2 linked regions of the Coturnix japonica genome follow. The protein of the gene in region 2 binds, or shares a complex with, the protein of the main gene of each other region. Links are inferred from orthologs where the notes say so. Each region holds a gene or a part of one and is shown on either strand. Other genes may lie near its edges.

What was found.
Region 1: the proteins of CEP152 (region 2) and CEP63 are in contact, whole or in part, in a crystal structure (PDB 6CSU), measured with the Homo sapiens proteins. The link is inferred for Coturnix japonica from reciprocal best matches to the Homo sapiens genes CEP152 and CEP63. Residues at the interface, in NP_001181927.1 of Homo sapiens: Gly1261, Ala1262, Glu1265, Leu1266, Gln1269, Tyr1270, Lys1272, Ala1273, Lys1276, Ile1277, Asp1280, Met1281, Tyr1284, Glu1287, Ser1288, Arg1291, Ala1292, Met1295, Ala1298, Arg1302; in NP_001340037.1 of Homo sapiens: Phe666, Glu669, Glu670, Arg673, Ile677, Arg680, Leu681, His684, Glu687, Leu688, Glu691, Ser692, Thr695, Phe699.

The regions. Positions count from the first base shown.
Region 1 is NC_029524.1:2,641,882-2,649,848, reverse strand, and holds the start of CEP63 (centrosomal protein of 63 kDa), read right to left. Parts: upstream 4,985-7,967; 5' UTR 4,702-4,984; coding exon 4,658-4,701; intron 3,231-4,657; coding exon 3,050-3,230; intron 2,324-3,049; coding exon 2,228-2,323; intron 162-2,227; coding exon 36-161; intron 1-35. Other genes in the region: ANAPC13 (anaphase-promoting complex subunit 13), read left to right, coding at 5,091-5,189, 6,122-6,247; LIPH (lipase member H), read left to right, coding at 7,800-7,851. UniProt on the Homo sapiens protein: Required for normal spindle assembly.
Region 2 is NC_029525.1:9,161,693-9,169,052, forward strand, and holds part of CEP152 (centrosomal protein of 152 kDa), read right to left. Parts: coding exon 7,326-7,360; intron 7,162-7,325; coding exon 7,033-7,161; intron 6,889-7,032; coding exon 6,753-6,888; intron 6,495-6,752; coding exon 6,315-6,494; intron 5,733-6,314; coding exon 5,460-5,732; intron 5,013-5,459; coding exon 4,944-5,012; intron 4,640-4,943; coding exon 3,989-4,639; intron 3,028-3,988; coding exon 2,865-3,027; intron 1,673-2,864; coding exon 1,493-1,672; intron 1,084-1,492; coding exon 1,002-1,083; intron 919-1,001; coding exon 812-918; intron 659-811; coding exon 502-658; intron 216-501; coding exon 112-215; intron 1-111. UniProt on the Homo sapiens protein: Necessary for centrosome duplication; the function also seems to involve CEP63, CDK5RAP2 and WDR62 through a stepwise assembled complex at the centrosome that recruits CDK2 required for centriole duplication.

The sequences.
Region 1 (7,967 bases), on a different chromosome or scaffold from region 2:
AAGAACCAATTAGCAGCTGCTTCCCCATGGCCCACCTCCAGCTTCCTGCTCAGTCGGCTCATTTCAACCTGGTCATCCCCTTGCCTCTTGTTGGCTTCTTCTCTTGCCTCTCTCAGCTGTTTCTTCTGCAGCTTCTCGTAGCTTCTCTTCAGCCTGGCCAACTGCAAGAATTCAGCAAGAGGGGCAACTTTGTTCAAGGCCAGCGGGCAGGAATTAAATAGCACATTGAAGGAAGGCAAACAAAATAGCTTCACGCAAACAATTCCCCCAATCAAGGCCACACAGCTTGCAAATGAAGATTTCTATTTGTATAATGAGCCTATTATACTGATAGGATCACAAAATACGCTGAGTGGTATAAGAGGAGCAGGATGCCACGCTTAAGTCGTGACATCAGCAGCTCCAATTAGACCTCTGTCTTATCACAATGAGAGCATGACTGAAATATCGATCAGATGGAGGTCTATATGTAGCTGTTAACATGGCACCTCCTCTCTCTACAGGCAGCCCCAGGACTCTGTAACAGCAGAAGAACCTGAGGTCCATCTCCTGGTGCCAACCACAGGGACAGTTCTACATTCTTAGAGGTTAAAGTGAAGCTCAGGTGAGGAGTGGAACTCTCCCGCTCGGCAGGAGGAGGAAGATTAGAGAACTGCCATTATACATAACATCAACACTACTTCATCTGTCATCCTCTGCTCAGATACACGACGTACTTCACAATAACTGGAAAATGCCAACAGAAAATAACACTCCTACGCCTACTGCTTGAATGCTGAACTCTTATCAGAAGCAAAAGTGAGGAGAAAACTGCTGACATTTAAGTGACCCTCTGTGCAAATCACCACTCGCAACTTGCACAGATTTCTCCATCTGATGAGCTCCCCAACTCAAGCATTTAAACAAGTTTCCAAATGGTCCCTATGAACCTCAGAAGACATCATTCCCGATTTGGGAACCCATGGAGAACTTATATCTGAATCAAGACCCCATGATTCGGATCCACACAGTGGTCAGGAAAGGTTCTCCAGGGTCCTGAGTCAGGAAGGTGCTTAAGCACATTCATTGAGAATGTGTTTTGCCAAATGAGTCAGCAGATTCCAAGCACTGGTTTATCCTTTCAGCAACCTCCATGAGGTGGACACTGTACCTGTAATTTTACTGGTGATGGTGGTAAACTGAGATAAAATCTATCTACCCAAACAGTACTAAAACAGACTAAGGAACACTGCAGCTTAATGCCATCTACATGGGTAAAACACCAGTGCAGTGCAGTTTTAACCACAAGACACACACTATATTCTAGCCATTGCAATATAGCCTGATCTGGCCAAAGCACCTTAGCCTTGCTCTGCAGCCTATCCACTATTTCAGCTGGAACATCTCCTGCTAATCACACTGAGCAGTAAGGTGTTGTAAATGAGGACAGATGCCTTCTGTCACCAAAGCTGAGGCTACCAAATTAATTTAAGTTATGGCTCACAGTGAGCATCAACCAAGCTGAACTCTCCGGGGAGAAAAGGTCAGTGCTCTGCTGGCTGCTCATGCCACTTAACTCAATGCTTCTGACAAGCAAGTGGAGACAGGCAGAACAAAGGCACCAACATGGAATGCTGCTGTTCCACCTGCAGGACACTGTGTGTGTACCACCCTGCATTGAACAAGGAGCTTGTCGAGATGGAAGCTCTGAAATCACTTCTTGCAAACTGATATGGTTTGAGAGAACACAGGTCCCGTCAAATAAAATCAGACTCAGTGGAAGCAAAATGATGATGAGGCTGCGTACTGATCTGATCTCAGTTTCTCCATACAATCAAGGCCGGTTCCACCACCACCCATTTTAATTTAAGGAAGTGCTGAAGGAGCAAACTGCTGCTGCCTGTACCCATAGCAACTTCCATATGAGGGCTGTGGTGACTATGATTGGCAAATACAGGAAGATTTTGCACTAAAACTCTGCAGATGTTTAACTCATGGAAATTGCAGCTTAGAACATGTTCTTATTCCTGCAGATTTCTTTGTCACCACGTTCCCCTGATGTGCCCAAAAGAGGGCCAGCAAAGCACAAAAACATCACTCTGAGCTCAGTGCTCTCTTCTGTAAGAGAAGAGAATGGGAAGCTTTAAAACCATGGCACTTAAGCAATGGCAATGATGCCAAACATTTCACCTACCTGGTCACATATCAACAGGGAATTAAAAACCGACCTTCTCCTTTTGAAACTCACCTCCTCTTGAAACTTCTTCAGCTGCTGCTCATATTCCCTAACCAAGTCCTGTTTGGCTGCTTCAGTGTCTTCCAGCTGCTGCCGCAACTTGCCAACCTGAACCAAGAATTACAAAGCAGATGAACTGAGACAGAGCACACTGTCAGCAAACAGAGGGATTAGTCTTCATTTCATAAGTATACACAGTAGTGGAAGTGGCAAAGGAATGTTAAGAGATCCCAGTTTTCTAAGCTGGGGTCAGTCCTTTTGAAACAAATTAAGCTTATGTCCACATCTCTGGTTGGATGGGATGAGAACAGTCTCAGATTTGGCCTCGTGTTTTCAAGCTGTGTCTGCCTTCCGCTGGCTGAGATGAAGCTGACACTTTTGCCTTGTGACAATGTCATTTTCATGTTCATTATAAGTATCCATTATGATTTCAAACTATCTATTAAGGGAAGAGATGGCAGTGCCATCCTCTTACCCCAGTGGGATGAAGCAGAGATGTCAAATAACACATGGACAAAGAAAGAAGCAGTGCTTTGAAACTCTTGGGAAAGGTTTCCCTTCTCTTGATCCAGATCTTCCCATTCCTCTTCCTTTCTCCCCTGACTCTTTTCCCTTTTCCCATCCACAATCACCTTCCTAACTGCAGGTCCAGAACACAGTGGGCCAATAAACAGGATTGGCGACCCTGCTCATAGCAGAGGGGTTGGAACTGGATGAGCATCGTGGGCCTTTGCAACCCAGGCCATTCTGTGATTCTACGAAACAGCAGAAAAAACTCAACTGAAATCTGATGAAACAAACAGAAACGCAGATCCACATTCAGCCTTTACGTACCTCTTTATGCTTTTCCTCCAGTGCAGCCCTGGCAGAGGAAAGTTCCTGCTCTCGAACACCCAAACAAGCTTCCAGAGCCTGGGTCTGTCCTTCCCATTCTGCCTTCTTGTGAGCCACCATGATGTCGATCTGCTTCATCAGCTCCTGCAGCTCAGCTTCGCAGGATGTCAGGAACCCACTGCTGGAAGGGACAGAGCTTCAGGTCACAAAGAGGAGCACAGAGGTCCCACATCCCCACAGTAGTGACACCAGTGACACCAGTGATTGGTGCGGAACATCGCTGGGCAGAGACCTAAACTTGGCAGTGACTAATGGGGCATGCTTTGGAAACCCCAGTCAGAGCACATGCAGTGTGTTTTGTTTTCTAATGTCACAGCAAGCCCCTATGACCACTGGTCCCTTTATCTTGGTACTACGCATTACCTAAATAAACCACAACTTATTCTGCCCATACTTTGCATTTCCCCTTAATGCTCTTTTATACCCCCTTTCAGTCACCAGAGAAACCTCTCAGCTCCCGAAAACAAAAGCATATCACAAATGCAGACAAACCCCTACGTTGGTTGGATGACAACATGATAATGAAGAATAAAACATCCCCAACCCATTGGGGAAAGCACGCTCCCTGGCGATGCCGCAGCTTCTAATTTGTGCAGTAATTATTGAAGCCAATTCAACCAAGCCCTGTAAAACTTCACAAGTGCTAAGCTAAGGACGGTATGAAGGCTTGCAAGATACAGCCCTGGAGGGCTGTGAACTCCATGATCATCTTCACCCATTTAATTTGACTGTCAAATGGAAGGCTCTGAAAAGGAACGGAAATCAATAGGTGAAGGGATTGAAATTTCCCTGCTCCCCCAGAGCATACATACCCAGCCTTCACAAGCTGACAGATCTTCTATAGGGAAAGAAGTAGCTCTCAGAGCAGCCAAAAGCAGTTAAATTGGATGTTCACCCCGGCCTGCGAGTTACCCAAAAATTAGCAGCTATTATGCACAGCAAGAACACCTCCTGCTCAGCATCTGCTGATACACAGCTATGTCTAGACTGCATTTATACAACCAGTTAACTGCAAAAGATACAGCACTGAGTCACCTCCTCAAAGACGGCAATGGAAATGGTGTCAGTGCCTTTAGTTTTGTGTTTGTTTGATAAATGAAGCCTTGTTATTCCATCTCCAAGCCCACAAGCCTTCACCTAAGGGTTCCTCAGGGTGTCTGCAGCTCCAGCACAAGCAGGAAGTAATCAGGTGCTCTCAGCATGTCTCATTAACCTCACCGGGCTCTTAAGAAAAGGATTTACTCACTCTTCTACTTAGCACCGCACTGCAAGGCAGGAGGGGGCTTTTTAAAGGGGAAAACAAAGGGATAACGTTCTTAGAGAGGCAAAATACAGACTGCAAGGCGCTGAGGGACCGCTGCAAAGTGCCGAAGCAGCCACGTCGCTGTGCGCTGCATCCATCCGCCTGCAGAAGGTACCGAGGGTCTCATTGACACCATGGGAGCTTGGCAGAAGAGTGGCAAGGAGCGTTAAGAGGGAAGCCCCGCGGTGAGGCTGTTGTAAAGGCCGGGCACACAGCGGTGCATACATACATACGTACATACATACCTCCCCTGGCCATTCCTCTGCATGCCTGCCAGCAGAGCCTCCATCACCCAGCGCCGGCGGGGTCAGCAGGGGGGAAACCACGCAAAGCAGCGGCCACCGCATCCACGGGCAGCGGGAGGGGAAAGGTGGGGGAAATAGAGGGGCAGCAGGAAGGGCAGAGACACGAAGTGACGGGGCAGAGAAATGGTTGGTTGTACGGAACAAGAAGGTACCGCACAGTGAGCGGACCGCACCGACCGCACCGAGCCCACCCGCAGGGCGCTGCCGGCCGGGGAGGGGAAGGAACGGAGGCGGCGGCGGGTGATGACGGTACAGCGGGCGCCGGAACATCGCTGCGGGATGGGGCGGAGCGCTGCCGGCAGAACCGAGCGCGTTGGGGCCGCTCGAGTCCCCGCGGGACGGGGCTGGTACGGAGCTACCTCGGAGGGTGAGGATGGACAGCGAGGTGCAGCGGGACGGCCGCATCCTGGACCTGATCGATGACGCGTGGAGGGAGGACAAGCTGCCGTACGAGGACGTGGCCATCCCGCTGGTAGGTGGAGCACAGAGCCACATCCAGCCCGGCCTTGAATGCCTGCAGGGATGAGGCATCCACTGCCTCCTTGGGCAACATGTTCAGTGCGTCACCACCCTCTGGGTGAGGATCCTCCCCTTCCCTGTTCGCACAGGTGTAAGCCGGCCAAAATCACGGCATCTGATAATGCCTGCAAAGAGACATTGCCAAATTGCAGTGACATCATTCAGCCCTTACAGCACAGTGTGGCATCACTCTTGGAAGAAGAGCAGCTCCTTCTCAGCAGAGGAGGCAGGAAGCAGCTGCCCTCCTCCAAAACCAATAATAACCAATGCAGCAACACGGGGAGCAAATAACACGAGGAAGTCAAATGAAATCGCATTTAAACTCTCCTTCCTCCCCCCTGCATGCTGAGCAGCTTGGTGTTGTATCTCCTGTTGTTACAGCACAGCCACAGCAGAGCTCCACATGCAGCAAGAGGAAGGATTTCTCACCTTGCCATAAGAAAGCGATATGTTACAAAGCCAGCTGTCTTAATAGAGCTACGGTAAATGCAGTATCTGTATTCTGGGCAGCAACAAAGAACCACAATCTAAACAAGCAATGGAATAATTGCACCGTGTTATTATTTACTTATTTTGCATTTTCTCTATATTCTCCTTCACTGCGTGTGCAGTCTGAGTACATAGCAAGGCCCCGGGGCCCTGGAAAGCCAATTTACCTTTCAGATGAAGCATCATAATCATATGAAAAGCACATTGTTCCTCCCTGGGCTCAGTAATATTTTAACTGAATCTGGATGTATGATATGTATTGTTCAGATGCCCCCTCCAGTCTCATTTGTGGATTTTTTTGTATTTATTCATAGGAAGTCTTCGTCACCAGCTCCTTTTTAGGCAGCTTGTTATGCACTGAATGCATTGTACCTTTTTTCTTCTTGTCGTTCTCAGAATGAGCTCCCTGAACCAGAGCAAGACAATGGAGGCACAACTGAGTCTGTGAAAGAGCAAGAAATGAAGTGGACGGATTTATCTCTGCAGTATCTCCATGAAAACGTCCCTCCCACAGGAAACTGATGAATCCGGGGGCATTTCACGACAAATTCTCTGTTAACTTATTCTTTACTTGGTGCCAATTCTGTTCTTAAGTGTTTTCTACACATGATAAAAAATGTGTTTTTTCACCATCTGGAGTTGTTCTTATATGTCAAAACTGGGGATGGGATGTTTGTGACCGTGGAGGTTTATGTCCCAAGAGGTATAACTGTGTTTTGTGTTAGAGTTCGCTGCCAGTGCTGACCACTGTATATTTACACGTTGTTTAAATGGTGCGATTTGTGCTCAAATGATGGTTACTCAAAATCCCTATTGGCTGAGCACGTTGGATGTTCTGTGAGGACATGGGCGCTGAGTAGGAGGATGCTTGGTTTGAGTGGCTGGGGCAGCCCCTGCCTGAGGAGTCAGCAGTGCCTGCTCTGAGCCAGCAGTGAGCTCATCTGAACAAGAAGGAGCTGCATGCAGCCAGCAGGCTGCTCAGGATTAACCCAAGCTTCATATGTACAGTATAGACCTTAGAAACAGCTACGCTGCTGGGAACTGTAATAGTTCAGCTCCTCGCTGTATCTCAGCAGGGGGCAAAACAGAGCTTGGGCTTAATGAGGTATTTCTGATCCTCCCCATGTTCCCTCTCCCTGCAAAGAAAACACTAGAAGCTGCGTGGTGGCTTTGTGTACCCAGCAGCCGTCTCTGTTCTCTCTTCCCTTCCCCTCTCTCACTCCATCACAGGCTCCATCCCCATCACACCAATTTTGCCACAGGATTTTCCAGCTCCAATTTCAGGCTTCCTTTCCCAGCCCTGATGGTTGTCTGTGCATCTGCCCACTTCTTACTGTCTAGCAAGGGGGGAAAAAAAGCCTTTCTCGCTTGAATTGGAGCTGAATTCACAAGGTTCCAGCAGGGCTATAAGAAAACATGGTGGGGATATGTCAGATGTGTGAGTGCTGTCCAAAACAGCAGCTCCTTGGCAGCACGTATTGAGTTGAACTGGGAACGTTGTCAGGACAAAGTGGTGCCCATCCAAATCATGAAGGACCTCACAGGTTAAAAGGGATGCTGGGCTTCCACCTGCTGGAGACAGACAGAGCGTGGGAGAACCAGAGGAACACGGATGGGAGTGTCCCAATGCTACCAATGTGGGTCCTGGGAAGCTGAGTGCTGGCCCTGCCCAGATACCGATCGGCTTTGCACACCTACGTCCTTCACTCCCTTTTGACACTCTTAGCAGAAGACGAACAGGCAGGCAGTAATTTCAACACAGGTAGTCAAAGTGCTGCTTACAGCGTGATACTGAACCGTTCCTGCCTTTGATTAGTCACAGCCCTGGGCAAACAATCTTTAAAACAAGGGATCCTGCTACAAGAGAAGGTGCCCCACCTTTTGAGAAAGAAGAGCTGGTTGTATAACTTCAGCCCCATCTTTATTTCTTGGCTGGGAACTTCCTCCTTTCACCACACCTACATTACTGGAAGAAAAAGACAGCAAACTGTTGTCAGAGGCAGCGAATACGTGCCAAAGAAACCGCGGGATCCGTAAGATTTTCTACCTCTACAAGTTCCATGTGGGAGCCCATATGCTGAGGCTGTGTGTCACGTTCCTCTGCCTTTTGTATGGGGTGAAAACAGGTAGGAAGTCAATTGCTTTGATTTTTTTGTTCAATATAATGCTTACTCTGCTTTGCAGAAGCATAAACCTATCTGCCCTCTGCGTTATAAGGTTACTGTGTAGGGTTTTTAACTAG
Region 2 (7,360 bases):
ATCCATACACAAGCTCGTAAATACCTTGTACCTCCCTAGACACCTACATTTTTGTTACTAAGAGCAATATACATCTACACAGTAAAGAAGCAGATAAATAAGCCAACACACCTGAGTGGGTAGTTTTGCAATGCAATGTGTGTCGAAGAGGGGTTTCCAGCCCTTTAGCCATTGTAACAAGCTTGCTGGCAGCGTTCATTATTTTCTTTTCAGCTCTGCCGATAACCAGAGAACATAACAAAAATTAAAGATCTCCAGACGCGGCATTTTACATAAAGGTAACAACAAGAAAAGACAAAGAATACTGAGGACAAGGTGTCAGACAGCCCAGCAATCCTCTGTCAGCAAGCTCAGCGGCAACTCCACACCGGTCTCATCAGATCAGGCCAGAGTAACACTTGCGCCAACATAGAATGAACAGTGCTATTGGACAAACAATGTTATACTCAAGTTGACATTACTCTTTCAAAACCAAAGATATCCACTCATGCTGGAGCTTACCCTTCCTGTTTCCCATTGTCAGTAAGAAGCTGTTGAAGACACGTCAAGTAGTACTTCCGCATTTTCCGTGCCGTCTCCTGGCGCTCTCTGAGAACCTCTGCTTTAATCATCGCAGCAGCTCGCTCCTTACTTTCACGGATATAACACAGCATGTCACCTACAGAAACATCCTTCATTAGGGACAGCTCTGACACAGAGGGGAGAGAGAAACACCACCAAAAGGACTGCTGAGTAGACCTGCAGCAAGGCAGTGAGGGCCCACATTTATCAGCCAACCTCCTGCTCACAGCCACACACCCACTGTACTTACTTTTTATCTTGCTTACAGATTTAATGTACTGAGCACGCATTTCTTCCAGCCCTTTCACAGAGCCACAGGATGAACAGGCTTTTGAGACACTTCCCTTGGACAGCAACCTGAAAAATCATACAAGTCACATGGCATAAGAGCAGCCTAGATCTTAGAATCATGCCCTTGTTTACACTGTTTTTTGAAATACCTCGGTGATGTGCCCACGTCTTTCAGTTTAGCCTTCATCTCAGTGTTTTCTGCAATTAGACATTCCACAAGCTTCTCGTTTTCTAGAAAAGCCAGTAATGAACCATAAAATAATGTACTTCCCAGCATTCAAGCAAAGCTCAACATAAAACATCACTGCTTTAATGTAGAAGACCTTAATGTCAACAAGTAACACCAGTAAACAATCAGCTAAGGCAGGGACAAGCAGGAAGGAATCAAACAGCACATTTTGCAGAAGCTTAAGTAAATGAACCCACAGGACTTAGCCTGAGCAAACCATAAACTTGCGGGGCCCAAAGGAAAGACCCAGTTTACAGCCAGGAAAACAATGGTTTCCATTTCATTTTGCTAAAGTACTCATGCGCACATACCATAACATCCACAGAAAACTGTATCAAGCAAGAAAGAAGATAAACACAGCCAGTCCAGCCAAGACATTCATAGCTTTCCTTTCTGATTCACCACCCTTACCTTGGACCTGCTCTGACATTGCCCTCTGCTCCCTCACTGAGAGATGAAGACGCCTGCGAGCTGTCTCCAACTCTCTTTTCAAGTCCTCGCACACAGTCTCTTTCTTTTCCAGCTCCTGGCTACAGTGTTCACAACACAAAACTTCCTGAGACCAAAGGATCTTTTTTGCACCTTGCTGATCTAAAACAACAAGCACTAGAAGTGACTCATGAATCAAGGGTCCCAAATGAATCAAACCCAACCTTGCTATTTCCACCCTATGCTAAGGGAGTATACTGTATATGAGTCCAATTTAAGTAATCACAAGAGCCTGGATGCCACTTACAGAACCTGCAGCAGCTCCAATCAAGTCACAGCCTCAGCACGCTCCCATCAACAGTCACATGCAGAGGTCTCAAAACAGGCAGCAATACGACACTGGGAGGTTGAACTGCCACTTATCTATCCCCTTACTTATTCAGTTTAAAGCCAACAGCCAAACAGGGCCTGCTGGAGTCAGCTGAAGGAAACTCACCCAGCTGGGAAGACTCACACGCGGCTGCATTGAGTTAACTTAAGAAATTTACATAGACTGGGCTACTTCCAGGGGAGCAACGGCTGCTTTCTATAGCCAGCACAGGGAGCTCAAGAGGCAGAAGGGCTGCGCTGCCTGCATTGTTTTGCATTTAATAGATGGTTTGTTATTTTGGTGGTGAAGAAATTCAAGCCGCGGTATAGGCACAAAGCCAAAGACTCTCTTGGGCTTTCTCCCTTTATGTTTTTTGGTTGCACAACAACTCAAACTAAACTGAAAGCCCCAGAGACATTGCAGTGCCTCCCATGAAGTTCCTCCTGAGCTACACAGCCCCCACTCTTGCTATGGTGCATGGGACTGCTTTGGGAAAAGCTACAGTGCACAACTATCAGCACGTTTCAAGGGTTGGGAGGGAGATGGGAGCAGGGAGGAGGAGGAGAGAAGCATCGCCTAGGGGATTCACATTTCCTCAGCAACTGAACTCCTCCACAAAAGAACTGGAAAAACTACTGTGCCAGCTGAAGAATCATTCCTGACATAACAATGCCCTTGATGCAAAGGCACGGTTCCTTGTATTGGCTGACAGCTGCAGCAAGCAGGAGATTTGGGGCTTCAAAGCTCTGCTTTAATACTTACCTGCTCCAAGACACCATTTGGTCTGCACCCTGCTCACCAGGCTCAGCACTGGCTTGCATACAAACCTTCAATCACCACAGGTGCAACTGTTCCCCCATCTACAACCTTACCGTCAGAACAACGGCATCTCCCTCTATCATTCAAATGTTCGCAGCTTCAGTGCTACTATTAAGGTTAGTTAGATAACATACAGCTCTGACAGAGTGAAAACAAACTCCATACCTCCACCTGTTCCACTTTTATGCCTTCTCAGCCTTCTTTGTGTTTCTGTTTGCTGTCCAAGGTTGGACAAAGGAGATCTTGCCATGTCCCCAGTTTCTCCACTGCCACCCTGCATGCAGGGGCACACTTCTTTATTTGCATTATTCAGTAGCTCTTCAGTTTTCTGCAATTGAAAGAACACTGTCTGAAAATCCAGCAAAGAGCCAAACACCATGTTCTGCAGCATACTACTTATTAAAGCTAGGATGAAGATGAACAAGCAACACAACTCTATTGGCTCTGTTTCTTGCATTCCAACGGTATTAGTCTTGAACTAGAACTGAAGAAAGCAGCTTGAACAGCAATGGAAATGAGTACTCTTGCATAGAGGATGGTTACTAAGCATAATCCTGTGAAATAGCACTACCTGATAACACCCAGAGTTTGACTCACAGACAGCAGCTGAGTCAGAACAGAATACTGAAAAGTCTACAGAAGGCACAGCAATGGATATCATTCCAGGAAGCTAAAAAGTATGGGCAGGGCTTCAAATATCCTGCATCAGATCAGATGCACGCTTAAATTTGCATTATTTTAAAATTAGCTTTAACTGCCTCCACAGAAAGTCAAAAGACCAGCCAAAAGTATGCCATGCATCCCTGAAGATGAGTTAACAATAGAAATGTGATATCCAATCACTACTGTACAGTTCTGGGTTCCACTGAACGACAGAGGAATACCTCCATTTATTTGCCTGTTTGCTCTGACACACAGAAAGAAATTCCTGAATCACAGGACTACATACCTAAGTAGCCACTATGAGTTTTTAAGATGCTCCTAACTTAAGACCATTGATGTACATCCTTAACCAATCAATGTGGGCATTAAAAAAAATAAATCTCACTCCTAACCTGGTTGTCTTCTACTACAGACACAGAGTCTCACAACTGTACCTTGCCATATCCTTTAAACTGCTGGCCATGGATCTCACCCTCTCAGACAGTTCTAAAGGACTCATTACAAATGACTGCAATTGATGGATTCTATAATTCTTTGGATCAAGCGAATATTACATAGTGAGAAGGAAAAAGGTATGAATCATTCATCCGTTTTCTCACATTATTCATAATTCCCTGAAACATTACCTCTTTCCACTCTTGTTCATGCTTTGCCAGAATTTTATAAACTGTTCTTCTGTAGGCCTTTTGTAGACGTGCCTTCAGTTTGTCTTTGCACTGATGATTTAATTCAACAGGAGCATCAGAATACCTCTCCTCCCAAGAACGTTGACTACAGGTGCTATTAACAAACTCTTCATGGACTTCTCTCAGCAAACACTCAAGCTCAACCACAGTCTTCTCCTCATACCGATTAATTTCATCCTGAAGTCTCTTTGCTTCCTGAGCCTCCCACTCTCGCTGCTTTTGGTCTAGTAACATCTTCATTTCTGCCTCCTTCTGAGCAGAGAGATCATCCACCTGCTTTGCAAGATCCTCCTTTGTTGTTGCAAGTACCTCTTTAATCTTGTTTCTGTGGTCATCTAAGAATGATCGGTAGTCTCTCTCATTTTGCTCTTGTATTTGTGCAATTTCTTCTTGCTTTTCTTTGTTCCACTGAGCACGGGCTTTTGCTACTGCTGCTTTGATAGTCACAGGGATTTCTTCTTCTTTTAGCTCCAATTCTTTTTTGAGAGAAACTACCTTTTCCTCAAGATCTCTAATTCTCAATTCAGACTTCTCTGTATTCTCACGTTCATTCTTCCTTTTTTCTTCATCAGAAGAGAAAGCCAAAGCCAACTGGTTAACAAGTAAAACAGAGTCGTTATATCAAATATACAGAACATTACCGCTCACTGATAAGTTCCTACAGCCTTTAATAAAAACATCATCATTAATGCAAAAGTAGAAAAAAAATATCAGTGTAAGACTATATTAGAAACATCATTCCTTAGTGATTCCCTGTACACACTCATTCACCCATTCGACACAGGACACAGGACAGGAAATCCCATTCAGAAGGACACTTATTTTCTGTTACAAGCTCTGCTGCAGTTTCTTTCTGTTCCCTTGTTTGCTTTTCTTGTCCTGTCTCTGTATTTACCTTGTACTCTTTGAGGTCTGTTAATTCCTGCAGTGATCTGGCACGTGCTTGGGTTAAAGCTGCCTCAACCTATAAACAGATTAAAAACAAGAGTTCAGTTAGGACTGCTTATGTTTAAAGGAAGCAATACAATCAGACTAGCTGCATCTGATGGATTTCCAGATGCAAAAGAAGATTCCAAAATGATGAGGATTAAACTATTTTCTTTCCATTAAAACAATATAAACAAAATGTAACTTTCCTCAGTTATGTTCAAAAGTCCTGAACAGCTCAACCAGCTGTGGTCAAGTGCTAAGTAAAAAATCAGAGCTATGAAAAAAGTTATATGATTCTAATTCTTATATCTAATATATGAAATATCAACTACTGAGCTTGAAGAAAATTAGAGGAAAAGCATATTTTCTAAGGAAAAAAAAAAGTTAAGGTGACTCAGTGGTTCATGTAACTAGACCCATTCAGCATATTAGCACATACGAGTTACATGAAATCCAGGCAAACAGGATAATCATTTGTTACCTGGCTGGCAAGACGTTTACGGTATTTACTTTCAAGTTTTATTTCAAGTTCTTTTAAGGCCTCTTCAGAGGCCTTTTTTTCCTTCAAAGCCTTCTGGATCTGCAGCTTCTGATCCTCAACAACCTTTGCTAACTCTTCAGTTGAAGCATCACTCACACACGTTACTCTATCTGTTTGGCTGCCGCAGTCCTTACATTCACACACAGTTTTTTTAATTTCTTCCAGCCTACTTTGCCATTCTCTTTCTCTCTTAGCAATGATGTCTTCTCTCTTCTAGGAAAAAATATATATCTATATAGATTTAAGACATTCTTCCGCAGCATTCAATTAGAAATAGAATTTCAATAGTATTTAACAAACAAAGCATTGCTGAAGAGCATCAAAACCTAAACCCTTAGCTGGACCCCACATTCCCACCCTTGACCCCCCCTCCTGCACCCTCCAAATTACACCTTCACTATGCATTTGGTATAGAAGGAGTTGTCTATTTTCCTTCCTTCTCCCACCTAGCCTCCATGGGGAAAGATGTGCAAACGGACTTCCATAGTAGGACAGAGCCCAACAGAATAGAAAGCCAAACTATTCACCCTCTGATTAGGATAGAGAACTTCAGTATGTTACATCCGTGATGACATTCTGCAGTATTACTTTATAAAGCCTAATTTTCCAAAGATCACAATCAGCTGTAAAACCTACAGACTTCAGAGGAGTCTGAAACAACAGACCCTCATCAACCACTTCAAACGCCAGAAGAACAATATATAAGACTACCACATATACATATAATCCTTTTCCAAAAAATAAATAAATTCATTCAGTTAAATCAACAAAAACTTGAAATCCCCAGCTTCACACCTCTTTTTCTTCTTTTTCCCAGCACGCTTTTACAATTGTAATTTCCTTCTCAATCTGCACTTCTTTCTCTTTCTGCCACTGCCTCTTTGCTTCAGTCATAGAATTATTATATCTCTCCTCAAGCTCACTTCTCAGAATTTTAAGTGACTCTTCTTTTTCTTCTAAAAGCTGTTTCTTGAGCTAGAACAAAAAACACCAGTAATTAAAATAATAATAATAATAAAATAAAACAGTTAAAGCAAACCTTTACCAGTGAATGACCTATCTTTAGGAGCCAACATTTTAGGGAAGGACAACTACATGAAAAGGAGTAGCTGCAGAAAGAGTTACCAACACTGTAATTTAAATCAACTCTCTGCCCTGAACAATTACAAAGTTGTAATACACAAGAGTGCATTAACCTTAAAAACACTCTAATATGATATGATGCATTAATACCTTATCTTCTTTTATCTGCTGCTCACGTGCAAACGACTGTCTTAAAGTAGTTTCCAAGGTGTCCTTCTCACCACAAACTGCTATGTAACATTCCTTCACTGTGGTCATCTCTCTGTTCAGCTCCTCTATAGTAGCCCTTTAAGGTACAAATCAGACATCAGCAATCCATCTTTAAACTCACAGGATATTAACCACTTTGAAAGAGCATTTTTAAAAGCACTAAGGGCCTGACATGAAGTACAAACATTTCACAGCAATGAAAAAAACTGAAAATGCTTACTTCAGCTGCAAGACTGTCTCTTCATAACCTTCAATAAGCTGCTGTCTTTCTGCAGCAAACCTCTGCATCATGTCTTTCTCAAACTGGGCTTTTGTATCCTCATGGTGTTGCTGATACGTTCTTTCACACCTATGATTTCAAGAAAGGAAAACACTGCCTATATTTCTTCCTCTTCAAAATGGGGTTCAGCTTTTGTTTAAGAAAGAAGCTAGATTTCCAGAGCAGACTCTCCTCATGATCACATGCAGGATCAAAGTTCACAAGAGAAACTAAACAGTGTTAATGGACTTAACCTGTCAATGGCTTCTTGTTTATCCTCATCAAATTC